2 linked regions of the Oreochromis niloticus genome follow. The protein of the gene in region 2 purifies or fractionates together with the protein of the main gene of each other region. This does not show direct contact. Links are inferred from orthologs where the notes say so. Each region holds a gene or a part of one and is shown on either strand. Other genes may lie near its edges.

Region 1 (15,603 bases), on a different chromosome or scaffold from region 2:
ATCAGATCAGATCTTGGGCCAAATTACGAATGACACTAAAAGCTCCAAGGTCGAAGCCAGAGATGGTCAGCAAACCCCGGTCTTCTGTGTCTCCGATGGCAAATCCAGTGTTAGTCAGGTCACACATCACCAGCTTCGAATTAGCTCCTGATGTCTGTTGAGAATATACACAAACCATGTTTATTGTAAAAATGTTACATTTGCCATCGTTACTTAGTACATATTTTAAGTAACCTTTTAGATAAAGGAGTTTAAAGGAGAACTTATAATGCTGTAAAATTAACTGTGCCCTATCAGCCATCTATGGAACAATGTGAATAAAAATAGCACATCAACCCCATCCCGTTAATCTTTGCTTGATATTGTATATTTTCAAAAACAATCTTTACCACACAAGGCCATTATTTAATTCAACTCCAGATGTGAAAAAACGAACATACTTCTCTGTGCTTCTTCAGAGACTCCACCGGGCTGGCAGTTAACATCAACAGTGGGTTGGTGCTCAAAATGACGAACACATCTACAGCTTTCCTGTTCTCTGTGGCCCATTGAATGGGAACGGTGCAGCCTCTGCTCTCACTCAGGAACTGCAACATAAAGGCACTACCTGATGGCTGTGCACCCCTTTCTCTCGTGCTCTATGTGAGAGGACAATAAACAGGTGGTAGATGAGCTAACTAGCACTGCTTTGCAGTACTTTGATGTGAAGGTGGAAGAAGAAGAAGAAAAAACTGCCTCTAGTTGCTTGTCTGTAACAAATAGTGTATTGTCAAAACTACCTTATTCCTGAAAGGAACTGTTCAGTCGCTCGTATTCTCTTCACCTTTAATGTTCTGTAAATCCTTACCTTAACCAGTTCATCAGTTGCTTCTTTGAGAGTCATGTCAGCAGAAATAGAGAATGGTACCATAGCCTCTTGAGAGTAGACCAGCACATGTGTGTCAGCCTCTGTCCTTGCTAAAATCTGTGTCAAAGCCAAGGTCAAAAGAAAGCCATTTAGTTACCCTGACTAAAATGCCTTTATCCTGCATGCACATTCACACACAGTACACCACTGTTAGGCCCTATGCGCTAACATACTGAGAAAGGAATTTTCAGGGAATTCACAGTATGCGTCAACAGTCCCACGCCATCACCCGGGATCTCTCTAAAGATGGGGCAGCCTGAGCCCTGTTTGAAGATGCAGCTGTTCTAACTAACCAGATGGCATCATCTGGCTGTAGTACAGTCTTACCATGGCAATAGCGGCTGCAGCAGCAGCAGTGCTGATCGACGTTCCTGGGACAATGCTGCTCGGTGACCCGCTCATATCTACTGCCACAACAAAGCATTTACCCACAGGCTCCACATTCTGAGGACAGAGTCACAGCAGAACAGGTCATTCATGTTAAACAACTGCTGCTGACATCTTCTGCAACGACTGGAGAAAGTTTTGAAAATTACAACAACATACCATAAAACTCTTGTAAAAGGCAGAGTCCATAGCTTTAAGGATGTTGCGGTCTGCTTCCCATTTTGGTTTACCCTGATAGCCATGGCCTTTTTTGTAGTTTTCTGTAGCCAAAAGTATACTGAAAGGGTGGATCTTTGCCTGGTGATTTTAGGAGACATTTAATTTATAAATATTGACCTCTGCATAATTAAAAACAAAATAACATTTCTGGTAGAAGTTGTGAGCCTTACCTGTTTTAGTGCAGTCTCACTTTGAATTCTGTCACATAAAAACTGTGTTTCTGAGCTTCCTGGTTCAAGAACTTTGCCAGATGTCAGCCTACCTAACATCTTTACCACCGAATGGAGAGGCATTTCCTTCAACAAAGCGCTCCATACCTGCAGAAAACAACCACCACACATCCTGTTAGATGTAGAAAAATAAATTTCCACATTCTTTACATTAGGCTTCAGTCTACCTGAACATTGCAGTTTTACAGATAAGAAATGTTTCGATTTTTCCCCCCTCCAGAGAACACTTTTACGCAGTGAGCAGGAACTTACAAGGGGCTCACCCCAACCCCCAAAAACTGGAAAAAAAAAAAAAAAAAGTCCTAGCAGTTCAGGAGGTGAGATAGTAAAGATCATTTATGGTATTTGGTGTTTAGGTAGTAAACAAGAAAGCAGTTACTTTTTAAACCAGGGATGTTTAACTTATTTTATATCAGGGGCCAGATACACAGAACTTTAATCTTAAGTGGGCCAGACCTAGGAAAGTCCCCTTTCTGTCAGTGTAATTACGTGTAATTGCACATTTAATCCCTCCAATATTTCAATATAAATAAAGAGGTGCAATTTCAACAGGGCGTCTCAGTTTTACTACATGATAAAGACATTCTGGTAGCTCATTTACCAGACTGTCCTGTAATTATAAAGCAGAAAGTTTTTGTTGTTTTATTTATTTTACTGTGGACACACTGTAAAAAGCAGGAATTCCTTTTGTCAGTACTGAAAACCAAAAAAAGGAACTTTTCTGTCATTTAATTGTTCATTTAATAATCTGATGTAGTATGCAAGACTGAGTAGGAGGGCTTCATCAGCAGGACAAGCTGTAAAATTTATGAAAATACAGGTGAAAGTCCAGCGGGTCATCCAGTGGGCCGGATTGGACTTTTTGCCAGGCTCTTCCAGGGCCTCGAGCCTTATGTTTGACACCCCTGTTCTAAATGCTCTGTTTGAATTAAAGATACAATTTTCTTTTTTTTTTTTTTAGTGTGAACTGCCGAGGGAGATTTTTGCTGATCACAAGCTTCTGAGAACTGAAAAAATAAACTTTTCTATCATTTGTGCTGCTACTGGAAGGAGGTACAGATTAAAAAACAAAACTGAAAATAAATTGCTGTACACCACCCTTTACATGGCATATTTTACTTTACCAAACAACAGCCGGTACAATATATTTATTAAACAAAACTATACGAGTTGCTTTCATTACTACCCAGTTTGTTTTGAACTTCACAAGCCCCATCTGTTTTTCACTTGCCTTCATAATTTTCCTCATAACCGTTTTTAAGCTTTGACTGCTCATACAGACACTGCTAGCTTGCACCTTCTCTGAGTTCTGTATTGCTTTAGCCACTTTGCCTTTTCTTGCTTCATATGTTCAGCTGGGTGAAAGTGATTTAAGTGATTAGATTTGTTGTTAAACATTTTTGTGGTCATCTCCCCATGGTTTTCTGCATTGGACACTGGTCTAGTCACTCAGTGTGAGCAGTTTCCCCACTTGTCAAACTGTGGTTATGAATGTGCGCTGCTTTACGTGTTCTCAGCCCAGTCAGTCACCAGTTTGGGCTGAGAACACTGAAAATCTTACTATTTCGTGTGCATTTCTAATTTTAATAAGATCCCAAGTGTAAAAACTGAATTCATCTCATCAATTATCACTACGATCTATGTTATAAACAACAACCAGGCCTGTCTACAAGACATCCTGTGTACGTGTCCCACCAGCTTTAATAACCCTATTTCCAGAAAAAATAATTGATCTGTCGGAAACTGCTAATTACTACTTACTACAGTATCACGGTGCATAACAACTACGGAAGTGCTTAGTAATAAAACAAGCGAGCACAAAAAACAAAAAGCATCTTAAAAAAAAAAATGATTTAACAGACTCACCTGTTTAAACTTCAGATGCTCGGTCAGCAGCTGTTCCCTCTCAAGCTTGTGTTCCTCTATTAAAGTGACGACCTCAGTTTCATCCCGACTGTGCTTTACCTTTTCCACCACTTCAAGATATGAAAGCACCCTGATAACCTCTTCGGCGTTCTCTTTGTTTTCATGAGCAACCTGGACCTCTTTCCACCCTTTTGTTACATATTTGCTGATCAAGGCAATAGCTGAAAACACAAAGAGATGGGCATTGCATGTTAGCACCGACTAAAGTGAAACAAAATAAAAACTTACACTGTACTGATTAAAATTCAGCATGGGGAGTTTATAAATATGCACATATATGCTCAGAACAGAGAACATCCAATAAAACCCCAGAGAAGAAAGTTGGATAACTGCAGACATTTATTCAACTGATTACTTCTAACATTCTGCAGGCTAAATGACGTGGGTCTCTATACTTACCATCCCTAGCTGGTTTAGTGTGGGAGAGTCTGAGCAGATCCTGGTGTGACCAGCCCTCTCTCTGCTTACATTTGGTCACTGCAGCAGCTAGACTCATGGCATCTTGCTCATTGTACCAGTCAGACAGTGCTCTCCTCAGGGCACGGCCCCATATCCCACATTTCATGTGCTCTTTTAATTCCTTCTTGTACTTGATGAAAGAAAACAGATGGGCAGGCTCACGACAAACATCCTTCAGGGCTTTGAACGCTGCCTGTTTGGTGTTCACATCTGGGTTCTGGGAGCACAAAGCCAAGGCAAAAATGGAGGGCTCCAGTCTGACAGCTCGCCCATCCTGAGCGAACCTTTTTATTTCCTCCAACACCTCAGCGCCTCGTTTCTCCTCCAACATGGACTGCAGGGCTCCAGTGTTCTCCAATTTGATGCGACCATTTTCTTTGGTACTGTACAAGTCCCTCTCTGAGCCATAGCAGAGGAAGCGACAAAGCTTGGCCTTGTCACTGATCTCCCATGAACCAACACCTGTTGAGTTCAGGGTATGGTTGCTAGTGGTACTTCCTGATAGCTCCATTGAAACACTTGAGGCGTCCTGAAACAGATTGTAGTAAAACGAAACAGTTCTAAACTTTATAATGAAATGGCACTGTAATTTGATTGTGGTATTTTATCTTATATTATAGTGAAAATGAAATAAAAGCTAACTACTAATACTAACGGGACGTAAAGCGTCCCCAGTGTAAATCAAACCATGGTTCGGATTTGACAGGATTGCGCAAGCGTTAATAAACCACCCAGCGTTTGCTAAGGTGGCGCTTACCACACCTTACTTAGGACATAAATTATCCAGCTACGTTGTTAAAATGCAAATTAAAATGTTTGAGCCCCTTCAACAACCTCTCGAGTTCAAGGCCAGCCAGAAAGCATGTATATGCACAAGACAATGTTAACTTCGCAAGCAAACATGACTTACTCATTGCCTCAGAGCGCTGTCAGAAATAGCTTAAAGCCGATTACAGAAGATGATGATACGCATAAGACAGAGAGAAGACACGCTGGTCCGTTAACAGGAGATGGTACGACAAGTTAACTACACGTCATTTGAAGTTAGCTGCGGAATGAGGCGCTAACAAGCTAGTCAGCCTTAGCTAACACTCCCGGTAGAGATTCGTTTGCTAACTTAACTAGTTAAGCTAGCAAAGGAGGGCGGTCTGGACAAGGTGAAGTAAGTTAGCGGTTTTAATCATTTAACAATAAAGTTAGGAATCTGACTAGTCATGTAGCAACTCATAGCCAGCCCAAGTCTCCTCAGTTTCCCCAGCCGTGACTTGGCTGCATAGTAATGATATTAATGTTAGCCGTCAGCACAAAACTATCAACTCCCCAATCTGAGCTCCTCTCTGGCTGGGACACCGGAAAGCACTTTGATACAGCTAGTCCAGGATGGCTACTAACATACGCTAACCCTAACAAAACTGTGTTGGTTTTACTCAACACATACTGTTTGCGAGTTGAAATAACATGACATAAATATCCACTTACCACCACGTATGTACACAGTGCTCAAGTTTTTTGGGTTGTTTTTTTTTTTTCTTTAATGTAGCTAGATGCGGAAAGGCCTCCCCGCAGACCGTCAGTGAGATAACAGGGCGGTGCCGCGGTGGATCCCGGGATATGGAGTAAAATCACACAGGCACATTCCCCCAGGGTTCTCTCACTTTGTCTCCATACGTTCACATTCACTTTTTTTAGTGGTTCACAATCCACTGAAAAAGACTTGAGCCACCTGTCATTTTTCTATATTTTGCCAGTAAAACGGGAAATAAGTGCAGTGATTTATTGAAACATGCGCAAGTCAATATTTGGTATGACGATCTTTATTTTTCAGCACAGCCTGAACTCTCTTATACAAGCTTGTAATTTTTTCTTTAATGTCTTTAGGAATAGTTCTCCAGGCTCCAGGTTCCAGCCCCAAACTGTGACAGAGCCTCCACCATGGTTATTGGATGGATATAAAAACTGTTGTACCTTTGTTCTAACCTCCTCCGTACATACTTACATTGATTTAAATAAAAAAATTTCAATCATCAATCCATAAGACCTGTAACAACAGGTTTTAAGCCCAGTTCTCATGAAATTTGACATAGCTCAGCTTTTTCTCCTTGTTTCAAATCTTCTTTCAGGCTGTTAAGAATGTTTATGGCAATTTTATTAGTTTCGGGTAGAATAAATGGGAACAAAGGGCTGTCTTTGTCACTCCTGTTGATAATTTTTATGGACAGAATTTCTAGGCGTAGCCAGATTGCAGAAAGCTTCCACTTTGTTGGCCTCAGAATAGCTTTCTGCTTTTTGCAGATGATGTGGTTCCATTGACTTCATCAGGTGGTGGCCTCCAGCTCACACTGGAGAGGTTTGCAGCCAAATGTGAAGCAGCAGGAATGAGAATCAGCACCTCCAAGCCTGAGGCCAAAAAGAGTGGAGTGCTTTTGTTTTGTTCAGTCTATCAACATAAAAAACACTAACATTAGCATGTCTATGTCACGAAGAATAAATCATACATTTTGATGATTTTGATTTCCATCAGATGAGAACAATGCATTAAAACATATAGCCAGTCTTCCAGATAGATTTCCTATCACATATTTTCACTTTTCAAAAAACAAACACACTTTCTTCCATCAATTCCAAACTGACCTTCAATGTATCCAAAAGGGCCACAGAAACGGGACCCTTTTCCAACTTTCCGAGCTTGTTCTATTCTAGGCTTAAGGCATTTTCTTTCCTTCCCACTGCAAATCCGATACCTTTCACCTTGCAGATCTTTCCTTTTTTTATATTTCACCTGTTTGTGAGTGAGAGAAACGATCACACGTCTTTGTTTTTTGTGCACCTTTCCTCCCATTCTGTGCGCATATACTGATAATATATATTGTTAATATAAATATATTAATAGTATATTGTTTATATTTGACAATGTTATATTTTTTCTGTAATACCAATTTGTACATGAAGAAGGTGTTTGACTATCTGTTAATTACCATCTAGTAACAAAACTGGCTATAAAAAACCTGAATAGTTTCACAGCCGATGGAAAAAATTTACTTGTTTTTCACTTTTATATTTAGTTTGTACAAAGCAAGAAATTCTAATGAAAATGTATTATTTTTCTAACAGCCCAGTGTCAAGAAGCACCTTTGCCAGGATTCAGTGTATTTTGTATGGTGGAGTACATTCTGCAAACCCCATCAGTGTTCATCACGGCCATTTCCATCTTTTTCACAAGATCCACTACCTTCTGTTCTTCAGCATTGTTCTCCTTAACATCATACCTACCAACACCTCCTCGTCACCTCTGTTTTCTTCACCTCCACAACACAAGTTTTTCCTTCAAGATGACCCCTGCTTCATTTCTCTTCCGGGCGACAGCATACTAAGAGTATTAGTAGTTCCTGGCCTTGCTTCCCTCCCACCTGGTTTCTACCTCTCCTTACATCCTTGCCTTTCCTTCTTTCTTGATGCCTCTGAACATGCCTTCCAACAGCATCAGAGGTTGTTGTTGTTGTCCACAGATCTGACTAATCTGGTATCGAAATGTTCTTCTCGATGATCTACATGTTTGATTTACCTAAGATATCACGCAGGATGCGCTTCCTGACACAACTCCCCGCATTTATTCTCACTTGGGACTCCATTTTTTTCTGGTTTAATATTGTAGGGTCTGTATTAAACAATATAAAGAACCCTGCAGTGACAGTCGCTGGGAATTGGTGCTATATGAATACACTTTAACTGAAAATTAAATTGAAAGTTGACTTGAACTGAAAGTCAGTGCACTTGAAGGGCACTGACTTGTGACCCATCTATGGTTGGGTTAACCTGGTTGTAACCAGTGGTTATTTGAGTTACTATTGCCTTCCTATCATCATGAAGCAGTTTGGCAATTCTTCTCTGACCTCTAGCTCAAGCTGTTTTTACCCAGTGAACTCCCGCTTACTGGATATATGGATATATATGGATATTGTGACAAAAAAAGAGCTCAGTAACTTCCCACTTACAAATTAGACTGATTAGAGATGTCGAGACATTTAAAGGAACTCAATATACATAGTTAAAAGCATATTTAATAGTGAAAAACATCTAAAATCTTCAAAATTTGAGAAGTAAAATTGCACAAATATCAAACCTTTTACAATTTTCTGCTCTAAGCTTGCATTTCATATAAACTTACATAATTTCATGTTAAACAATGTTTACATTTTAGATTTTCTCTCCCCTCATGCAAGAACAAAAAGCATCAAAGAAACACTTTGCAGCAAAAACAATTATTTCTGGAGATGCTGTTTTTTTCCACACTTCAAAAAGAGAAAAGCAAACTTTTAGGAACACATTATTTATAAAATTATCATGAATCAAAGTGCAACATTATAAATGATGAAGAATTTTTTTCATTTTTCATGCATTTAAATTGTGAATCTTTGGAAAAAAGAAAAAAGGAGCAGGTCAAATATATATATTTATATATATTGGTAAAAATTTGTGATCGTGTGTAATTAAGAGCTATAATAGAGATGGGCAGTAATGCGTTACTTTAATTCGATTACTTTTTTCAAGTAATGAGTAATATAAAGGATTACTATCGCAAAAAAGTAAATAGATTACTGTTACTTTCCCGTTAGCACGCTCCGTTACTGCGTTACTAAACCATTGTGATTTTGTTTGTGAGAGTGTCTCATGACCAGTGTTGGGTAAGTTACTTTAAATTAGTAACTTAGTTACATTACTAGTTACTTCTCTAAAAAAGTAACTCAGTTACTTCAAGTTACTCGTTACTTTCAAAGTAACTAGTTACTAGGGAAAGTAACTTTGGTTATTGGAATTCTCTTGTTAATGTGTTGCTTCCGTAACTGGATACTCAGCAAGATTGCCAGTCTTCTAGCTTGCTTGCTTGCCACAAGTGCACTGTGCCACCTACCAACAGAAAGGAAAAAATAATGTGCACATTTCCACGAGAGAAATCCCACGCCTGGACCGTCGTTGACCGCCGCCATGATTCTAGCCTGCTTTTTACATCCAACACAAAAACTGCAGTCGTGGTGCTTTTGATTGTACTCAGAACTTGGAAATTCTGCCTTCTGAATAGGAAGATGTAGGTAACACCAGACTGCAGATGAGCTGCATACAGGGCTGGACTGGGACAAAAAAAATCATCCCGGGCATTTTGACTAGAGACCGGCCCACCAATATAGGAAAAATCATAAAGCCTTTGAATGAAAATAAACACTGTTGTGACAGTGATGTACACTGTTCTGATGGTATATATGTATCACTCTATCAATTGTTTGTTGTAAGACTCAGATAATTATTTTTTTTAAAGCGAGACATTTTAAATGAGAATAATAAAGAAAAGTATTTCCTTGTCCCCCCCTTTCCCTGTTAATGCCCTACCTGGCCCCCTGGCAACACTTTGCTAGACCCGCCCCTGCACAGTTACCAGCTGTCAGCTACTTAGAAAAGGATCCTGGTGTTATTTGTCTCTCAGAAACAGTTCATAACTTCCCTTCAACTCATTCATGTCACCTAAAAGGTAAACCTGTTTCTCCATCACCTGTTCAGCTCTGATGATTCAGTAAGGACATCTCCTGGTTTCATCTTCATGTTTCCCTCTCACCAGATAACCAAACCGATATCATGACCAGCAGCTTTACAGCTGTGGCTCCAACAAACATCAGCTGATACTAGAAATGAATATTAAATAAATTCTAACAACAGCTGATCAAGCTTAAACGTGCTGCTGTTGTTTAACGCGACATCCGCTGGTTTCCTCTTTCTGGCGCAAAGTGGGCGATAAATAAACAAGAGAGAAAAGCCGATCAGCTGATCATTGATCAGTTTCGTGATTGAAGTAGAAACGTGAGAGAATGAGAGAAGAAGAGGCAGCTGTGCAGCTTCAGCTTTGTGTCTTTTTCATTGTAGCTGAAGTCCGGGACAAACTGTGTTCCTTTTCACCTCAGTACGAAACGCGTAATATTTTCTCTGAATACGAGACGATTCTGTTTTTTACGGGACGGTTGGCAACTCTAATAATTAACCGTATGAACAAAATAAAGTTCAACATCAGTAACATAGCACCCACCCAGCTGTATAGAAACTCCGTCATGCTAGCTAGCACGCAGTACGAAAATGTCAGCATACCGAAAATAAACTCCACCTAAACTTGGTTTATATCTGACCCAGATAGACTGCAGGTCATAACTTCTTACCTGAAGTTCAGTTCACCTGACACGCGGACCGGCGGCCGCTTCGGGTCTCTCCTCTTGCCTCCCTTTTCCTTCATCCACCTGCTGGCCTCCACCACTTGCTAATGTTACTGAATCTGTGGAAGCTCCGCGATATCCACCACACGAAGTAACGAGTAACGAGCCTATCTAAATCCCAGTAACGAGTAACGCGTTCCTGGTTTTGGCATAATAACTAGTTCCCGTGCTCGTTACCACAATAATAACGTAGTTACTGTAACGCGTTACTTAATAACGCGTTAGTCCCAACACTGCTCATGACAATGACATAAGCACGTGCAGGGCTGGACTGGGACAAAAAATCGGCCCGGGCATTTTGACTAGAGACCGGCCCACCAGGTATTATGGTAAAAACCGTCGTTGTGACAGTGATGTACACTGTCTTGTTGGTACATATGTATCAATCTAGAACTTAAACCTACACCATCCTCCCTATTCTGGTATTCTAAACAGTACTTAGCCGAAACCCAAAGACTGCTTGGTTTACCTCCTGAACTTTCTACAACACATGGAGGAAACCTGAAATTAAGACCGAAGACTAAAGGTGAGACATGACCATTACTGAATATTAAAAAATAATGACAGATTTAGTGATATTTTCATAAACTATTTATTTACCACATCAATAAACAGCATGGCAGGGCAAAATATTTTTTCTAACATGGCAACCTTTAAAAAGTGAAAGGAGACAGAAAGGTGAGAAAGAATAAAACTTCCTCACTCAAAACTTACCATCAAAACTTAATTTTGATGGTATTTTACACACAGTACTGGTACAGTATCTAGAAAATGTGGGAAAATACTGGCATCATATACAGTACTTAGTTCTGAAGAAATTATGCTGGGACCCTGAAAAAAGTACTATGTACAATAATGGATTTCTATACATTTGACATCAGATGAAAACTTTGGTTGTATGATTCAGATAATTATTTGTTAAAAGCTAGAAATTTTAAATGAGAATAAGAAACGTATTTTTTGTTCCCCCTCCCCCCTTTCCCTGTTAATACCCTACCTGGCCCCCTGGCAAAACTTTGCTAGACCCGCCCCTGCACAGTTACCAGCTGTCAGCTACTTAGAAAAGGATCCTGGTGTTATTTGTCTCCCAGAAACAGTTCATAACTTCCCTTCAACCCTTCATCCCTCCAGCAAACATCAGCTGATACTAGAAATTAATATTAAATAAATTCTAACAACAGCTCATCAAGTTTAAAGGTGCTACTGTTGTTTAACGCGACCTCCGCTGGTTTGCTCTTTCTGATCGGGACAAATCGCGTTGCTTTTCACCTCAACTTTAAAGTTCGACCTCCTCGGCTGTAATTGGTCCAGCCCAGAGTCGATCATGACCAACTGGCCAATACACCACTATTCATTTATACCGTTGAAAAAATAAAAGAAATAAAACCCCATCGGCCCATAAAAACGAAAAATCACGAGCGGCCCACCGGGCAAATGCCCGGTATGCCCGATGGCCAGTCCAGCTATGAGCACGTGCAACGCCTGCAGCAGCAACAGACTTGTGTAGATCAACAATGGATAGTATGGAGTGCGGGACAGAGTACGACTATGCAGCTTTTAAAGCTTGGACGTACTTACATTACTTTAAGTTTTAGTTGGTAAAAAGTGACAAAAATATTAGCGTCCGCTGTACACTCTGCGTGGGAAGAAAATGTCTTTCTACTGCTTAATTATGTATTCAGGTTGTGTATCATGTTTTTAAAAAGTAACTAAATAACTAAGTAACTAATTAGTTTTGAAAATAAGTAATCAGTAAAGTAATGGGATTACTTTTTTGGAGTAGTAATCAGTAATTAGTTACTAATTACTTTTTTCAAGTAACTTGACTAACACTGGTAATCAATCTCATCAAGGAATTACAAATCATCAGAGGTGTGGACTCGAGTCACATGACTTGGACTCGAGTCAGACTCGAGTCATTAATTTTATGACTTTAGACTTGACTTGAAAAAAGGTTGTAAGACTTGTGACTTGACTTGGACTTTTACACCAGTGACTTGGGATTTGAATTGGACTTGAACCTGTTTACTTGAAAAGACTTGATATTTTACCCAAATCTAAAATTTAACATACATATTATATAAAAAGTGCGGACCATTAATTCACTTTATTCATTCATTCATTCTTACCACACTCCGTATGTATGTGAGCGTGGGCTGTAGCACAGCCAATCAAATTAACCAGATTTGAAAAAAACAAGAACAAAAACGCTCGAGCCAAAAATGCTCCCAAGAGTAATTTCTTTCGGGTACATAAACTACGAAGTAGTCAACAAAAAACGAAATGCAATATGCAAAACATGCAAGAAGAGAATCACAGATGGAGATGGAACAACTTCCAACTTTGTCCGACATTTGAAGTTGCATAAAGAACGGTAGGTGGTGCTTTTTTTTTTTTTGCTACGATGAAATAGCTGACTTAGCTAAGTTCATCTTATTAGCAAATGTTCTTCGGGCTACGTTGATGATACTGTTTGGCTTTAACAGGTATGATATGTTTGTCATGCTATTTTAAATCCGGTCCTGCAAGCGCATCCAAGAATAACATGCAACTTGTTAGCTCAGAATTGTCGGTGAATGGTGAGCAGGGTCCGTTTCAGAAAGTGGGTTCTGTAGCTGTACTCAGTCTCTCTCCGTCTCCTCCCCATCATTAACCCCGTAGATTTAACCCAGTTTAGACTGACAAATATTTATTTTACCATCACATCACAATTCAAAATCACTGTGTTTAATTTGCAATTAGTGTATGGTCGTGTTTAACTTTTGCATGTCTGAGCCAGGGAAATTTTTTTTTTTGGTTAGAAAATCTGGCCCACCTTAGTGTGTAATTGAGTAGTCCTGCTATACATGGCCTTTTTCTTCTGTCATTTATGTCAATACATCAAATAAAATATTTTGATCTTGTTATTAGCTGTTGTTTATTTGCAAAGGTTATTCTCAACAGGGATGCTAGACAAAAACGGCGTTTTCTACAGACAGCCTAGCATACGCTCTCCACTTGCGAGTGAAAAAAGAAAAAGAAAAACACCCCTTCCCTATTGGTGTTAGAGTTTACCATGTCAGCCAATCAAAAAAATGATAAGGCAACATGTGACATTTGGTTGTTTAGGGAGAAGGGGAAGTTTTTAGGAGTGACACCCGCGACGGAAAGCGGGCGAGCGAAAGAAAGAGAGAGAGAGAGAGTTTTCATATGTGAGACATTAGTGACGTTTAGCGTGTTTGGAGGCTGTAGTTAGTTTGTTGTGTAGTTATTGTTTTGTATTGTGTGTCGGTTAGACTGCTGAATTTCATATTTGATCTAAAAAAGCTGTCAAAGGCAGATTCCAGTGTAAACGCTGTCTCCACATAGAAAACTGGACTGTTGCACGTCCAGTTGTCAGACCTGCAGGGTTTAGGCCTGTGGTGTTCTCCTCTGTCTTATACTGAATACAAACTACATTTTTTGGACTGGCACAAATAATTTGTGTGCCTTCTTATTTGATGCAGCACACCTGATTGTTCTGTAAATAGATTTAAATGGTTATATAAAAAACCCCTGAGGCCTTGGCTGCATTTTTAGGTAAATAGTACCATATAACTTTGTTGTTTGCAAAACTTGTGCATAATTTTTAGAAATGTACAATTTCTATTTGCATTTCAAGTTATGAAAATGATTCGTTAAACATGTAAAAAAATATAACTTTTTTCTACTCGGATTCTGAATTTTTTGTCTGAATTTAGATCAACTGTGCTAATATAGTATACCAAAATGAAAAAAATAACTCAAATTTCAGATATTTGAGGTTGTGCTGTAAATAATGATACCAAACAAGGCAAGAAAAACATATTTTAAAAGTGAAATATAGAAGTAAAATCAAAAGTAGTCAAGAACGGCCAATTATACCCGGGACCCCAGAGGGTTAAAAAAAAGACTTGAAAGGACTTGAAATTCAAAGTTTCGGACTTGGGACTTGACTTGAAAGTTGTCTGTCTTGACTTGCGACTTGACTCTGACTTGCTTGACTTTACTTGAGACTTGACTTGTGACTTGAGGATAAAGACTTGGGACTTACTTGAGACTTGCAAAACAATGACTTGGTCCCACCTCTGCAAATCATCCACCAGTTCTTCAGAGCTCAGTTATAAATGATTAATAAGAACAACTTCTTGGCTTCTAGTGTGCAGAAGGATTGAATGTCTACCTGAATTTCATAGTGAGAACAGTTTTGTGAGCATAATTATCCCTGAACTTCACTTCTCTTTCCCACAAACATTTTTATGCATGCGGGTAAATAGCAAATTTTAAGGTTTACTGCACATTAAATTGCAGCACAGAGGATTACTATAGTCTGCTTTAGTCTTTATTTGGCTTTTCTGCGACCTCTAGTGACCTTTTTGGTCTTTTAGAACTCTTTCAACAGAAGGCCATAGGGACGAATGGCACGCTCCACCATCTTTCCCTCTTCTTCTTCTGATAATCCACGATCGATGCGAACCAGCCAGTACTTATCATTGTTCCATTTCTCTCTGTAACTGGGGTTGATCCGATTCTGCAGAATCACTTTGTACGTCTTGCCGTTTTTTTTGGACTTGAAATCTTTACAATATTTGAGGGCCTCAGTGATGTCAGGTGCAGAATAAACCCCTCTGCCATATTTGTTTATCCAACCTGGCTGTTAAATAAAGTGAGAGGAATTAGAAATTAATTTAGAGATTTAGATAATTTAGAGAATGTTACAGTTTATTTACTTTGAACTCAATAAGATAAACTTTAAGTCATTTTTAAAACTTTTAGTTATTTATAGATGTACAATAACTAACAGTAAATCAGGTTTCTATTCTATAGCACAGGAAATGAGCACATCGCAGTCTTTGTTAACAGATATGCTTTGTTAAAAACACACTATATCGGATTCATATCGGTATCGGCAGATATCCAAATTTATGATATCGGTATCGGTATCGGACAAAAAAAAGTGGTATCCTGCCATCTCTACTTACTAGGCATGTAATTCCAAAGTATTGTCATATTAAAGCATCATATTGTATTTTCACTGGTTAAAATACTGCAGTACCAGAGATAATGTAATCAAACCTTGAAACGTCCTTTGATGATCTCACAAGCAGAGTCATAAGATGTCCCATGGTAGGACACAGGCCACTCCCCTGACACTGACCGAGTGCGATAGCCTGCGGTGCCTAGCCATTCATTTCCATCATACTTATCCAGGACCTGTGATCAAATA
Region 2 (15,793 bases):
AAGTTCACCATCAGAGGGTGTGCTGGAAAATTCTATACTTCCTGGCAACCATTCATTATTTATGTTGAGAATATGTCAGCCTGCGAAATGGATTCATGATTATTTTATGTTGACTCTATATAGCCTAGTGACCCATTGTCTTACATGTCTATAGTTTAGTGTATACCGTGAGTATATATCACTACTTTGTTTTCTGTTTTTCACGTGAGATCTTCTATCAAGGGGAGGGAAAGGGTGGGAGCAATGTTGTGCCTTCATCTGCGTACATTTATGACTTTAACTGTTAGAAAAATTATTTAAAAAAAACAAAAAAAAAATGTATGGAAAATATGACGAACAGGAAACAGATGACAAATAAAAGAGGGCCCAGGATAGATCACTGGGGGACTCCATTAGGAACTGAAAATGAATGGGATATGAACTTTTTGAGTTGAATGAACTGAATGCTCTAAATGATTTTGAACTTACCCTTCTTCTCCTGCTCATCATCGCTTTCAAACTTCATCTTTTTTCCTTGGTACTGAGTTCTGCCTTGATCTCTGCCACCTCTTCCCCATCGGCCTCTTCTTCCTCTTCCACCTTTTACGACAGACAAGACTATCTTACTAAATCATATACACGTTCATCTATAAAAGATAGATGACACTGTGGAACTGTATCTTCATTGACATTAACTGATTACATCCCAATGCAGTCAACAATGTTAAACAACATGAAAATGCATCTCACCTCTGCCTCTGGGCCTGCTGAATGATCCTTGTTGAGCCTCTATTATCTTCTTCATTACGTCCTTCTCCTCATCTCCTTCAAGCAGCTGCCATGTGACAGTGTTGTCGTTGATTTTCAGTTCCTCTCCGTGTGCTGTTTTGGCTTTATCGAACGCTTCCTGTGCTTTCCCGTCAAACAGAAGGGTGCCCTTATCAGGAGGAGAAAAATAAAATATTTAAACAAAAAATATTTCTTTGAAATGAAACAGCTCTACTCATTTTCAATCCTGAGTCATGCCACCACGTTGTGTTGTGGAAAAAAAGGTCTGTAAACCTGACTTCAGTCAGGTTTACAGACCTGGTTTCTACAAACATTAGAAACCTGAGGAAGACATCACCCCCTTTCTGCAAGAGACAAAATCTCTGTACTGTCAATGAAAACTGCTTTCTATCCATGGAAATTTCCTGTAATTACCACAGATGTGGATATTATCATTCATCACCCCATTAGTCTAAACAACCCCAGACATCTAGTCTCTCTTGCAAGGACACGATTTCACCAGATGTCCCCAACCCGCACAAATATAAAACACAAACACACATAAAACAAATGGTTACAATTAAAACATGTTGAATTGAATTACACAAGTAAATGATGTAAGTAGATAAGGTTATACCACATGTATGAAGAAACAGATGGAAAATATACCTCTTTGGCCCCTCTTGTGAAGTCAACCCACTTTATGTTTCCATGCCCAGAGAACAATTCATGGAAGTCTTCTCTTGAAACACCTTCAAGCTCTCCTGAAAACTTCAGTAAACGTCCTGACTGCTCATCCAAAAGCAGATCCTGCAAGTAAAATGAGAAAACATCATTACAAAGCCTATTTATTCTTTAAGTTGTGCGTTCATTAGCAGACTAAGCTCACAAACACTTGGAGAGCTTACCATTTCTTTTTTTTCTGCATGTTTCTGCTGTTGTTCCTTTTCCCTGAATAAAAAGGACAGAAGTAGGAAGGTTATTTTTCACAAAATGTATAATCCAGTTTTATGATTAAAGATACAGAATATGTACTCACTGTTTAACTTTTGCTTTTGTCTCTGCTTTAAACTGTTTTTTCTCTTCTGCCTTCTTGGCATGGTAGGCTTCCCTGAAAGAAAAAAAAACAGCTGATCAATTACGTTGTTTCACACAGAGAAATTCAAAGGTTTGCAAAACCGACATGATCGAACGAAAAGTGCACAGCAAGCTGAAACATCACCAGCAGTGCTGTTACACTGTTCACAAGGTCAAGTACGATGGGCCTGTAAGTCTGTCTTGGCCCAACAAACAAAACAGTTTAGTTTCCTTGTTCAATTTAAAAGGTTTTTTTAAAAAATTATAAAAAGTTATGCAAGCTACTTCATCGGATTTAAGGGCATTAAAGTACATATATGACACATCTGCCACACCTCTTAAATCAGTGAATTCTTCATTAAATCACTGACACAATTGATAGCCGCTAGCTAGTGCCTAAAAAGCATCACAGCCTACCTTGATAACACAAGCATCTCGTTGTCTTTGAATGATTTTATATCTGTGCGCTCTAGGAACTGCTTGGCTGACTCTTCAGTGTCAAAACAGATAAACACAGATCCCTGCAAAGACAGAAATATAAAAATTATATAAGAGAAGGTCTCCCAAAATTGAAAAACATAAAAATAAAAATTATATACATCTCAAGTTGTGTTTCATGTACCTTGAACTGCCTTTGGAGGTTTCTCCTCATCTGAATGTTTTCTACCGAGCCTTTCCCATTCAGCCAATCCTGAATCTCATCCAGGGATGTTTCAAGAGGGAAACCTTTCTAGATGAGGAAAAAACGAAATGTAGGGAAAACAGTAAGAATACAATCAAGGTGGAGAATAATTATTATTTTGTCTACACAATTTATAAGAGTGTGGGTAGGCTAAAGATGTATTGCACTGTTGCATTACGCTGCATTAGTTTGAAAAAAAATTAAACTTGTCTGAATGCCAATGTGAGCACAAACAAATATTTACGTATTCAATGCATTTGCATACAGTTTAAAAAAAAAAACTAAAAAAACTTGCCATGTATACAGATTTGTGTTTAAGTGCATCCTTGTATTCATCGTTCTGTTCGGGTAAGGGCTTGCTGGGAGACCTCCTGATCTTTGTCTTGTCTTCACTGATTTCCAAGAGACCAGTCTTTGACTTCTCCAGAGCTGCAATGAGGACGCTGCTGTCTGTGGTTAAAGACTTCAACCTATGAAAAGAATGCAAATCTTTCAACAAACACCTGGCTACAGACGGCTGTAAGGCTGTGTTTTAACGCTAATGATGCATGCATTCATCTGCAGTATAAGGGAGAAGACCCTGCAGCTCATCTAATCTTCCCTCTTTGAATTCTCTCAGTCTGCTCATGTTATGTATGTGAGTGGGGTGGGCACTCTCATTTCAAGTAATAAAGCTCAATTAGAATGTAATTTGCTGACTCACACACAACATTACATTCTAAATATACACTTCAATAAAGGGATTACAGGAATGGATTCCTCCTGCTGTGTTAATTTGCCCTTGCTGTGGCCACTTGTGACCTGGCTGCTAACAAGTGAACTTGAGGCACAGCATGAGAGCATGCTCTCATCTCATCCTGCCCATCATGAATCACAGAAAGGGTCCAAACACACCGATTAGTCATCACTATCCTCCTCTTCTTGCTCAGCCCCCCCACCCCAAGCAGCTATACTCAAAAGCCTACCCTTGTCCTTGTGGACTGAAGGTTGTTACTGCAGCTTCAGTATGTCATGTTGTGCTAGTATTTTTATACTAAGTGGAATAGAACTGCAGTCCATACAAGGCTGTTTTTCACAACAATAAATATAATAAATAATATACTGGTTTTAAGCTAGTTAATTGCCAATTACCGTCAGCCCTCAATCACACCTCCTTTAGTCATTACAGGTGTGGTGAAGAGAATAACGCCACTTCAACAATGCAGTAACAGCAATGTGAATGCACATTGAAACTAACATTCACTACAGCCACAGGCACTGTCTCCTCCTATTAGCTGCACTCGCATGCTGCATTTAAAGATCCTCACACACATATACACCAACATGTGCTCTGTAGCTCAGGTGGCAGAGCAGGTCAGCCACTAATCAGAAGGTCGGTGGTTCGATCCCAGGCTGCCTCCTGGCTGCATGCCAAATATCCTTGGGCAAGATACTAACCCCATGTTTGCCTACTGGTGGTGGTCAGAGGGCCCGGCGGCTACAATGTAGCTTGCCAGTGTGTGAATGTGTGTGTGAATGACTGAATGTAGTGTAAAGCGCTTTGGGGTCCTTAGGGACTGAGTAAAGCGCTATACAAATGCAGGCCATTTACCATAATATCCAAAACTACAACCTCTAGAGCAGCGGTCCCTGGGCCTCGGACCGGTACCGGTACGTGAGTCGTTTGGTACCGGGGCGCGAGAGTTGAGGCTCAGGTGTGAAATGTATAGTTTTTATCAGTTTTCAGCGTTATTTTGTTATCGTTTTTATCGGTTTTCCTGGGTCTTTTCACGTGGGTTATGAATAAATCTTCTTTTTTTCGGTACCGGCACTAGTTTTATTTTGTTGCGACACCTTATTGCCGGTCTGTGAAAACATTGTCGGGCATAAACCGGTCTGTGGCGCAAAAAAGGTTGGGGACCGCTGCTCTAGAGGATGACAAAACGTTGAACTCGATAGGACACTTTAGCAGAAATTGTCAGATCATTTTACATCATGTGTCAGCTTTCATTTATTAATTTTCTGTGGCTAAATTCTGTGTTTTAGTGGGCTTTACGGTCAGTTTTCCATGCTCATATTTCAGCAGATAAAGCAGTGTTAGAACTGCACTGCACAGAAGGTAAGCACAGTGTTTAATGCCGAGTTGTGATAAGCATAGTATTTAGTTAATCTGTAATAAAAAGTGTCTAATATAAGCAACCAACAAATTTACCCCACAGGTATATACAATTTCACAGTGAAAGAAATTTAATTAACAAATTTACAGAGTAGATTTTATTGCAGCGTCTCGTAACGTCAAACAACACCTTAAAAAGTGCATCTAAAATTCAGTCCTAAGTTTAGTTAGAGACCCCAGATGATCACATTTATAAATACACAATGCAATCAGCTAAAAATCTTAAGTTAAAGAGACTTCTCATCAATCAGTAAATAGATCAGTAGTACTGAATAGTAATCTAAAGTTGAACAAACTGAAGATAGCGCCTGGACTTTGAAACCCCACTTAAATACTTCAGAGTAGAGTCCTCCCCCCCCCCAAACAAAAAGCATAGGTAAATAAATGAAAGCCAAAAATAGAGATTAAAATAAAATAAATACAGTTATAATTTGACACGGAATGCATTAAAGAGAAATAAACAAACCTGTTGAATTTAAGCATCGTCTCCAAAGTCACCCAGCCATCATCAACCTGCAGCTGCTCTTTGAGAAACCGGTCTCTTGGAAGATTGTGATCGCCGAAGTAGTACTGGGTAGGAATAATTTACAGCCAAATCAGGACCAGTTTTACCTGGTAAATACCAAATTATGAGTTTAAACTTTAAATTTGAAATACCTCGATCTGTCGCGCCACTTTCGCCTCCAGTGGGGACATCTCTTCTTTACTTTCTGCCATTTTGGTTCTGCATAGAAAAAACAAAACAAAAAGAAAGGTGTCCTCCTGAGTTAGAGATTTCTCTGATGTTTACAACAAATATTTAAATAAAGAAATCTTATAAGAAGAGATTTTATCCATGTTATATATGAAACAAAAAAGTCGAAATGTTTTCTATCTTTAGTGTGCCAGAGGGGAGCTTTTTTGTATTAACTGTAAATTTTATATTAATGGCAGATTCCCAACATGTGGATCGCAGCCCTCTGTTGGGCTGTGAAGGTACTGCAGGTGAGGTCATTCACAATATTTATCTATATTTAATCAAATTTCAATTCACTTATCTAAATTCTTGATTGTTATAAGTTTTAAAACAGACTGAACATACACACACGCACACATAAAATCCTATAGGATAAACTTACAATTTACGATGCACTCTTATTGGCCAAATCAATTAAGATTTTGGTTTTACTAATAAATTAATAATTAAAGATTAAAAGGAATAAAATTTGGATTAAAAAATGATTATTCTATAACAAATCCCAAAAAAGTAATTTTGTTTATAATTTGCAGGAATTACACTTTTAATAAGAAGCTAAACTAATGAAACAAAGCCTTGACACTTAAATATTTTCATTATTTTTCATTTCATTTGCTTTTTGATGTACCTCTTAATTTGTTAGAAATGAACTCTGTTGAGAATCAAGTAAAATATCTGAAGGTCAAAAATCATGACAAATACTTGTATGACAACCTGTGAAGTCAAAAATCTAAACAATCTAAAACATGGCAAAGATTACATTTATACAACAGGTTGTTCTAACAAATATTAGACTTTAGTACTCAAAGAGCCAACTGTTTTAAACAGGAGGTATAAAATGACTAAAAACAGAAAACTGCCAGGTTTAGGCAACCTGAACTATGTTAATGGGAAAAGGGGCTTTTTCACCCCTAGAATTGATATTTTATGTTTGTAAACACAGAAAGTTCCATTCCCCTTTGCTGTAGTGAGGACAGCGCAGCTATGTGGCCATTTTCTAGGGATGCTGCTCGACATCAGCTTATCCGCAAACCAAATGATATTTACGAACCTCCCTAGCCGACATTCATTAATGTTGTGCTGGCTGAAAGTTGAAATATAGTACGAGGAAGAGTATAAAGAAATCGCTAAAAACAAACAACAAAAAAACCCAAAACAAACAAACAAGTAAATAAATAAAATCCAAAACTGAAAGACAACATACAAAAAAAACGAACTAGGGAAAAATTATGATCAGCTATTGGCCACGTTGTCATATTAAACACTGCTATGAGGCCTTGCTGTTGTCTGAGTTTTTGTAAATTATCTGCAAGGCCATATAGGAACCATCTTTAAGACTTAATTATATTAACCAAATTAATAACGTAATGCAGTTAAACAGTTACATGCACTTTTAAACAACATTTAGTTGCTGCATATTTATATTTAGATACGCGCCTTCAGATAGATGCCCAGATTTAAATCTTACAAAAGGGAACCCAAACCTAAAATTGTGAGTTGTAGTACATCACAGGACTCAACCAACGTGTTTCTTTCGTCATAATTAACTACAGGCTCATCTAGCTCCACGGCTAACCTGTTAGCTTAGCTCTTTCAGTACACGGGCCACGCTTGGTGTCAACACAACAAAAGCAGCTTCTTATTTGTCTATCCACGCTATCAGTACATGTTTTAATCAATTACGTGATTTGTTAGTGCGTGAATTACTTTTTTATATGTAAATTAAAGTAGTCACCGCTACTCTGCTAACATTATTCTAGCTGCAGCACGCTGTTCAAACCTGCTTGAAGAAAATCCACTCTGTTCTTTAGTAACGTTATAAAACACTCCCTGGGTAACATAGAAAGCCTTAAACATTGTTTTCACAATCGTAAAAAGTTGCACTTACATAATGAGTCGCAGCTAGAAGCAGTTTAAGCCGCTGAAACCAACAGTCCTCACTTCGCCGCTCGCACGTTGGAACTGCGTGCTACGGAGCCCACCGAGGACCAAAAAGGACTCATGTTCGCGCAAGCTCCTCTGATCGCTGCAGCTGAACAACAAGAAATCTGGTCTTTTTCATTATGTATACGTGCTAATGTTTTGGAATAATTTTCACTAGTACATATTTGGGTAATCAGATAATAAAAATAAAAATAAAGAAACTTAATCTATCCGTGGACAATGTTTAAATTCATTAATTATTAAATTGATAAATCTTAGCCAGAGTGCACTTTAAAATCATAAGACGTTACCTTCTTACTTAAAAGTTTAAGCAAACTGATCGATGTGCATTTTGTTTTTCAAACACACTAAGATTCCCAAGCCTGAAATAAAAATAACGTAAGACTACAAATTTATCCAAAACCTTCAGTATTCTTGTACATGTTCGCATACCTGTTAAACTTTCTTATGCCTTCATATTTGCGCTTAAAAATGTAATTTCTGTTTATTCTTTTGTTTTTTGTTTTTGCTAAGTCACGTATTTACGCGAACAGTGTGTAAATTTGATGCCTATATTAGAAACTGCGATGATATATCACAACCACAAGATGCCGCTGTGATTCTAATCATGGCGTTTAGTTTTTATGTGTCATTTTAAAGTTTTTGTTTTTCGTATTTATTAGTTTGTTTTTTTATTGATGTGTGTACCTTTTAAAAACAATTATAGTAGGACTTCAGTTGCACCGTTTGTTGCAAGGAAGGTCAGACTTTTATCAAGGCTGACATTTCATTAGCTTAAAATAATTTTGCCTCGTTCCTGACTTTGTTTTGAGAGACATCCACATTGTATTTTTATTGTTGTATGTGTGACGTAAATATCACCCACCTAAGTTTGGGAAAAGACTGTTATTATTATCAGTATTTTTCTCTTTTGACATCAACTTTAAAAAATGTAATGTAGCTCGTCTTTTTTCAATTATTTGAATTTAAGATAAGATAAACCTTTATTAGTCCCTCACGTGGGAAATTTGTTGTGTCACAGCAGAAAGGAGACAGTGCAAAGTTACAGCAACAAAAATTAAGAAAAACAATGGAATAGGATGAGATAAAAAAAAAAGAATAAAATACTATATACAATAGAATAAAATACTATGTTGTCAGAAAAATAATTACAATTAGTGTTATTGCACATGTGCGGATGTGTGTGTTTGGTCAGCTGCAAAGTCTTTGTGTTGTGTGTTTATTATTTATTTATTTTCATTTTTATGTATAATATTTATGTATCTGTTATATACACTTGCCAGCCACTTTATTAGGCACAGGTTAGGTACAGTGTTGTACCCCATGTTAGTTTGTGTCACAGATTCACTAAGGTGCTGTCGACATTCCACGGAGATTTTGGTCCATGCTGGAATGATAGCACCACACAGCTGCTGCAGATTTGTCAGCTGAACACCCGTGATGAGAATTCTCTTCCACCATAATCCCAAAGGTGCTCTTTTGGATTGAGATATGGTGACTGTGGAGGCCCATTTGAATACAGTGAGCTCACTGTCATTTTCAGGAAACCAGTTTGAGATGATTTCAGCTTTGTGACATGGAGTGTTATCCTGCCGGAAGCAGCCATCAGAAGATGGGTACACTGTGGTCATAAAGGGATGGACATGGTCAGCAACAATACTCAGGAAGGCTGTGGTGATTAAACAATGTTCAGCTGCTACTAAGAAGTTGAAAGTGTGCCAAAAAAATATTCCCCATACTGTAAGACCACAATCCTGAACCTTTGTTACAAGGCAGGATGGAGCCATGCTTTCATGTTGTTTTTGCCAAATTCCTTTCATCCGAATGTTGCAGCAGAAATCAAGACTCATCAGACTAAGCAGCATTTTTCAATCTTATATTGTTCAAATTTTGGTAAGTCTGTTTGTACTGTAGCCTGTTTTCTGTTCTTAGCTGACAGGGGTGGCACCCAGTCTGGTCTTCTGCTGCCAAATCAGCCCATCTGCTTCAAGTGGTTATTTGAGTTACTGTTGCCTTCCTATCAGCTCAAAGCAGTCTGGTCATTCTGTCTTGGATCAGCTCGCGATCTGCCACTCACTGGACATCTTCTCTCTGTAAACCTTAGAGATAGCTATCTGGGAAAAACTCAGTAGATTAGCAGGTTGTGAAATGCCAACAACCATGCCACATTCAAAGTCACTTAAATCACCTTTCATCCCCATTCAGTTTGAACTTCACAGGATCATCTTGAACATGTTTACGTGCTTAAATGCAATGGGTTGCTGCTATGTGACCGGTTGATTAAATATTTGTGTTAACAAACAGTTTAACAGATATAACGAATGAAGTGCCAAATAAATTTCTTAAGTCCATAAAATTCACTGAACTCAAACAGAACTCCATTAGCATTTTAGTACTTTGTTCAATCAAGGTACAACCTGGTACACTTCTACTAATAAAAGTCTATTTGTAGTGTGATTTTTAAATAATACTTATTAGATTATAAAATGTCATCTTCTCTTTTTTTGCATTTCTTTTCAGTCTATTTTAAACAAACAATCAAACAAACAAAAAACGCTCAACATGAGGCCCCTGAGTTTTGTATGAAAAGCTGGTATTCATCACTATATTCACAGTTTGGCAAATAGCTTCCTAAAGGATCTGGTGCAGGCTGACATGCTGTGAGATAAATATGAAGTGTGGAATATTAGCTCTCTTCAGTGAAGTCACTGTTAGATCCATTTGGCACAAAATAATCAGTAAACAAAAATTTGTGTCACTAAACACCATAAACACAAACACAGCCATGTGACCTGGTCGGGCTGGGGAGAGTCCCCACTATCTCCCACGAGTCCAGCTCAGGGTTATATTTCTCAATGCTTTGAAGGTAAGTCCCTTTGGAGTACGAGTATCCACCTGTTACGTAAATACAACCATTTATTACCACGGCCCCACACTCCATCCTCCTCTCCTTCATCACCGATATCGGTCTCCACTCGTCTCTCTCTGTGTCGTAGCAGTCGGCAATCGTCGTCTGTCCACCCACCACATACAGCTTGTTGTTGAGAGACACAGAACACAGCCCGTACTCTGAAATGAGAGGAGTTCACCTTAGAAAACAGCATTTAATATACTCATGCTTCTGTTTGGTCTTCTTTAGCACGCATACCTGGATGGGGACTTATTGTAATGATGCTCCACTCGTTGACATCTGGTCTGTACACCTGTGTTTTTTCATAGGTGCAGCTTCCTCTGTAGCCATAATGACCTCCGGTTACATAGATTTTATCTCCCATTACACACGCAGTAGCATTTCCTACACCTTCAAAGAAAGCAGAGATCATAAGCATCACTTGAACAGTCCAAACTGTCTATCACGTAAAAACGATGATACCTTAAGTATTCGTTTTATCACTTCATTCATACAAAGTTACATATATATATATGCACAGTTCAAAGGGACAGTTCACGCAAAATCAAAATTATATGTTTTTCCTCTGGCCTGTAGTGCCATTTATCCATCTGGATCATTTTGATGTGAGTTGTTCAGATTAGCAGATATCAGCTCTATCAGATTCTGGTTTTTCTTTAATAAAATGGAAATAAATGGCACTTGACATCTGGTTATCAAAGCACTGTTTGGAAAAACTCAGCAGCTTTCGCAGAAACTGTGGCCTAGTCATTCAAAAATCTGCAAACCTTGTTTCAAGCAGTTTCAGTTATGAACTTCTCTATTATTTGCTAAGCTATACCCCCACAGTTCATCTAACCATGCTGAAAAGCATGAGTTTTCAACAGTGTGACACTATCTAAACATTAATGATGTCTCCTTCTGCTGAGCTGTAATGTTAGCTGCCTGCTCACTCCCTTTGGGTGGTGGATACAATTCTTAATGTGAACTCTGTCGGCTTGTTGTTCTGTGCAGAACATATAATAAATAGCTGCTACCGTAAATGGTAAGAGTCACACAAATGATTGTTAATGATACAGTTTAAAAAAAATATAATGACATTTGATTCTAATGCTCATTCTTGAACGTAGAAACAACAAGTCCCATCTATGAGCTGCTCAGGAGCTTTCAGTCACATGATCTTCATCAGCAGATGGTATTATGACCATGTGTTTTAAACCACAGCTTTTCATCCTATATGAGTAAGAAGCCCATAAAGAACTCATAAAACTCCACTAAATGGACCTTGTGGTGAAACTGCTTTCTCTGCCTTCATTTATTCATATCCTGCTCATCATTTCAGCCCTGGAGATAAAACAATCCTAATATTTCAGCATACCTTGGATCATTTTGGCCACAGGGAACCATTTCTTTTTTAAAGGATCATAAAATTCGGTGTCTCGTTCGGGAGCTCCTCCCCGGTAGCCTCCGATGGCATAGATGCAGCCGTGCAACGCCACAGAGCAATGGTAGTACCTGGCTGTAATCATGGGGCAGGCCTCGGTCCATTCATCACAGTCACAGTTATAAATTGAAACAGTGTCCAGGGCCTCAACAGTGTTTGTCTTGTAGCCACCTGTCACATAGATATTTGCACCAAGTAAACTGACGCTGTAGCTCTCTCTTGCATGGTTGGGCATGTCCTTTCCTTGCACCCATGTGTTGCTGACAGGATCCCAGATGTGGACTTCACAAAGAGGGTGCCAATAGTACCCTCCAATGATATACATGTTGGCAGACATTTTTCTAGCCACAGGTATCTCTTTTCCATTTGACCTTAAAGCCTGGATGATTATAGATTTCAATTTCCCATCATTCTTCTTTAAGTATTGTCTATACACGTCTAACGTGGTCTTAAAGTAAATCTCATCCAGATCCAGATGGATGGAGTGTAGCATAATTGAAACGTGGTGTAGGCGATTATCTAAGTCATGGTTTGCCCATGTGGCGACAGCATCTATCAACACTTCATCTTTCTGCACAGTGAGGCTCTGTACAGCCAAGACTTCTCTCATCTTCTCAGGGTGCAGATCTAGAAACTCCTCTTGCTGAATGAGCTCCGGGAACCTGCTCAGCATCACTCTGCGTGCCTCCCTTTCCAGCCCAGGGCACAGGTGCAGCTCAGCGAAAGCGTGCATGCCCAGGCAGTTGTCCACATCCAGGAGGCGAATGAGAAACTCCTCACATGCTTGCTTCACAGAAACGAACTGCAGCAGATCTGCAGCCTCTAGCAGGCTCTGCACGTTGCTCTCAGTGATGCACACCTGAGCAGTGTACACATAGTCCACCAGAGCACCCAGCACCCCGTAGTCTATGCCGCTCAGTTTGATGACGCTGTTTGATCTCTCCTTCATGTCAGCTGTGAACATGACTTTGAAATAGGAGCTGCGGGCTGACAGCAGCGCCTTGTGGCAGTGAAACACCTGTCCGGACTCGCCACACTGCAGAGCGACATCGGTAAACAGCCCGCTAATGTAGAAGTGCCTGAGCGCATCCAGGAGCTCTGCCGGATGGTCACCATCACAGAAGTCATATGTGTAGATTTCGGCTTGTTTATGTGACATGATATCTAGAGAAGAGAGATGGAGAAAGTATGTGTCTAATGTAAGGCAAACACACACACACACACACATAGTGGGTTGGCAAACATCAAAGCAATACCGAGGCGTCACATTCCCATTTATAATTAATTGCAGTGTGACTGGTCATAGAAGAGTCTCCGCATTTACGCTTTAATCCATGTATCCAAGCAGGCAAACTGCTTGATTACCACTCACCCTATTTCCATGAATGACTCGAGCTTTTTTTCTCTCTCTCTCCTTCCACTGTCCTCAAGCTCTCCCGTCTTCACCACACATGAGCCTCAATTTAGCTCACGCAGGACAGTCGCAGGCAGGCAGCTCGATCCTATTTTGGTATTTGTGCGCAGCGTCCATAACCCCCTCCTCCTCCTCTCTTCTCCTCTCCTCTGCTCTGTAGTCTCAAACAGCGGGTCCTTGACAAAACTCCTTCAGAGGAATCACCCAACCCCACCGTTTTCTCTCAGAGTCTAAATATAACCTCCATCCATCCACAGTCTCGTGACGCGCTCACGGACGGCACATTTTCTGTGCACCCAGCAGGCGCAAACAGAATACAAATAGTATACAAATGAGCGTCGCTTTTTACTAGGGCACAAGAAGAAGAACGGGAAGACGACGACGACGAAGAAGTCATTGCACTGGTCCATTCATGTGTTCATCATTCTTGGCGTTGCCATGGTATTCTGAACCCAATTCCAGTGCGGTAAAGGCTTTAGCTAATCCTAACGAGGATTAACAGCACAGGGCTGCAGAGACGGAGACGGAATATGTGTTAATCTCAGCAAATCATATATAATGAAACAATATTACTGCATAAGAACTAATGTAATAACAGAGCCTTTGTAAAAACTTTTTTTTTTTTAAGAGAGATTGTTTTTTTGTGCCGCACAATAAGCCGCCTGGGTTTACAAAGCAACAGAATGGAGGGCTGTGTATGCTGTTACCTGAGAGTTTAACGCTTAATGCTGAATTAAAGGGGAAAGCGGTGCAGACTGGACTCAATGCATAACTTAATGGCCAAGTGAGAGAGATTTGACTGGCAACTGTTTTGCATAAATCTTCATAAAAAAGCTACCTTCCCTGAGACATGCTGTTTCTTTTCGTTTTAGTCCAATGCTTGATTTTATTCATGAATTTATTCTATCGTTTAACTGTTGTTAAAATGAGCAGTGCGACGGTCCCACTCAGTATTTTCTAAACGTTTAACTTATAAATCAAACAAATGATGCTGATAAAAAAAAGCCAACTGAGGTAAAATATCTAATCAAACTTTGAAAATGAATCGAACTTTGTCTTTTGTTACAACATCATAACCGGCTTTATGTAACACAGTAGTAAGTCTGTGTGAACGGGTGAAATTGTTTAATTTTATATTAAAGTGCAAAAAAACTTGAGCTAACTTCTTTATAGTTTGCTTCCAATGAGCCAGACTTGTAATTTTGTTTCAAGTGGTCTTAGGGGATAGCTCTCTGGGCTTCCTGAAGGTCCTTTGCACATTGGCTGCTTTTTCACATATCAGTCCAGCTCTTGTAACTCACCATTTTCATAGGGATTTATTTTATTTTGTTTTGTTAAGCACTTTAACATTGATATATGAATCATTCAAGCATAAAAAGCCACCTTAATCAAGGGATGAACCAGTGTTGTGTCTACACATAACAGACAACTTAGCAAAGAGCCAATTATAAATTGTATCTTTAGCCACTTTATCGTACAAACACCTAATTTGTTCCTTTAGTTGAATCTATGAAAAATTCCATCACAGTTTGACAGGCATTGCAACAACAGCATGATTTCTAAAGAGGTATTATACAAAATTAAAAAAAAAAAAAACATGGCATATCTCAGCATGCCATTCACTGTGACCTTAATAAAAAATTAAGAAACTGGACATGCAAAGGACAAACAAAAGGTTACAGGCCTAAAAAAAACAAACCCTGTGTTCAGCAGATGAACAGCATCTAAAAGTCATGTTCTTAAGAAAGAATGGGAAAAAAACAGCAAAGTTTATCCATCTACTGGTGACATTAGAAATTGCCTCAAGGTGGCTGTCAAGAAGTCGTTCTTAAGGAAGGGAAATGAGGAAGAAAAGGCTGAGGTATGCAAAATTACACAAAAACTGTATTGAAAATCAGCGACAACAGGTCGTTAAAGAGTGAACAATCCAAATGTGAAATGCTTGTTTCAAATCCATCATCCAATATATGGATGCAGAAGAATGCCTGTTGTATCTGACATTTACCACAAGCCATAGCGCTTTGCTGTGGATGAAACAGACTGTGTAGGCTGGACTAACTGCATGACTGATTAGGCAGCGGACACAGATTGAATTAAGTTTTTCATGCAATGATTCCACAGATTCCGTTATTTAATCTATTTATTTATTGTTGAAAAATACACTACTGTGGCACCCACTGTTGTTTTCTAGGAGGATGGAGTAAAATATGTCTTTGCTTAAGGATTCAGAGAACTGAGCATATGCACTGCATGTGGTAGGACTTATATTTTCTGAAGGTCTACAGAAAATATAAGTGAATGCCTGTTTCTGGCTGCTCTGTTTTCAGACACTGAGCTGAAATGCATTCTTATTGAGAAGTGGAAAGTAGTGAGATGAGATGATCTAAAGTGAGTGAGATTTCCATGATGCCACAGAAACAGATTTACATGTGAAAAAAGTTGTGTTGTTGCTTGCTTATACAACCTACAAAGCAGCTTTCTTCCACTAGCTCTGGGATGTGTTGTGCTATCTTACCAAATATTAATAACAGTGGGGCAAAAAAACCCATAGAACTGACACAAATCACACATTTAACATTTTAATAGAGGAATTATTGAAGGGCCGTCGTACTGAACTCGAGCTGTGTAGTGAAGTATTTTTAAAATATAAAAATATAATGCGTTCAAATTAGAAAGTCTTCTTTAAAAGGATCAAACAACAAAC

The links.
Region 1: the proteins of ssb (region 2) and ro60 purify together in Homo sapiens (affinity purification with mass spectrometry; 3 studies listed by BioGRID and IntAct, with this or other methods). This does not show direct contact. The link is inferred for Oreochromis niloticus from reciprocal best matches to the Homo sapiens genes SSB and RO60.

Annotation. Positions count from the first base shown.
Region 1 is NC_031982.2:9,731,064-9,746,666, reverse strand, and holds the start of ro60 (RNA-binding protein RO60), read right to left. Parts: upstream 5,756-15,603; 5' UTR 5,608-5,755; intron 5,551-5,607; exon of another isoform or gene 5,039-5,550; intron 4,658-5,038; 5' UTR 4,640-4,657; coding exon 4,069-4,639; intron 3,831-4,068; coding exon 3,610-3,830; intron 1,831-3,609; coding exon 1,684-1,830; intron 1,592-1,683; coding exon 1,454-1,591; intron 1,352-1,453; coding exon 1,235-1,351; intron 965-1,234; coding exon 848-964; intron 639-847; coding exon 441-638; intron 155-440; coding exon 2-154; 3' UTR 1-1. Other genes in the region: uncharacterized protein LOC102081413, read right to left, coding at 14,761-15,030, 15,453-15,590. UniProt on the Homo sapiens protein: RNA-binding protein that binds to misfolded non-coding RNAs, pre-5S rRNA, and several small cytoplasmic RNA molecules known as Y RNAs.
Region 2 is NC_031987.2:16,034,895-16,050,687, reverse strand, and holds the start of ssb (lupus La protein), read right to left. Parts: upstream 7,442-15,793; 5' UTR 7,286-7,441; intron 5,386-7,285; 5' UTR 5,379-5,385; coding exon 5,319-5,378; intron 5,232-5,318; coding exon 5,128-5,231; intron 2,977-5,127; coding exon 2,802-2,976; intron 2,555-2,801; coding exon 2,447-2,554; intron 2,346-2,446; coding exon 2,242-2,345; intron 1,859-2,241; coding exon 1,787-1,858; intron 1,699-1,786; coding exon 1,656-1,698; intron 1,558-1,655; coding exon 1,417-1,557; intron 917-1,416; coding exon 730-916; intron 580-729; coding exon 469-579; intron 1-468. Other genes in the region: klhl23 (kelch-like protein 23), read right to left, coding at 10,100-10,410, 10,490-10,642, 11,610-12,834. UniProt on the Homo sapiens protein: Binds to the 3' poly(U) terminus of nascent RNA polymerase III transcripts, protecting them from exonuclease digestion and facilitating their folding and maturation.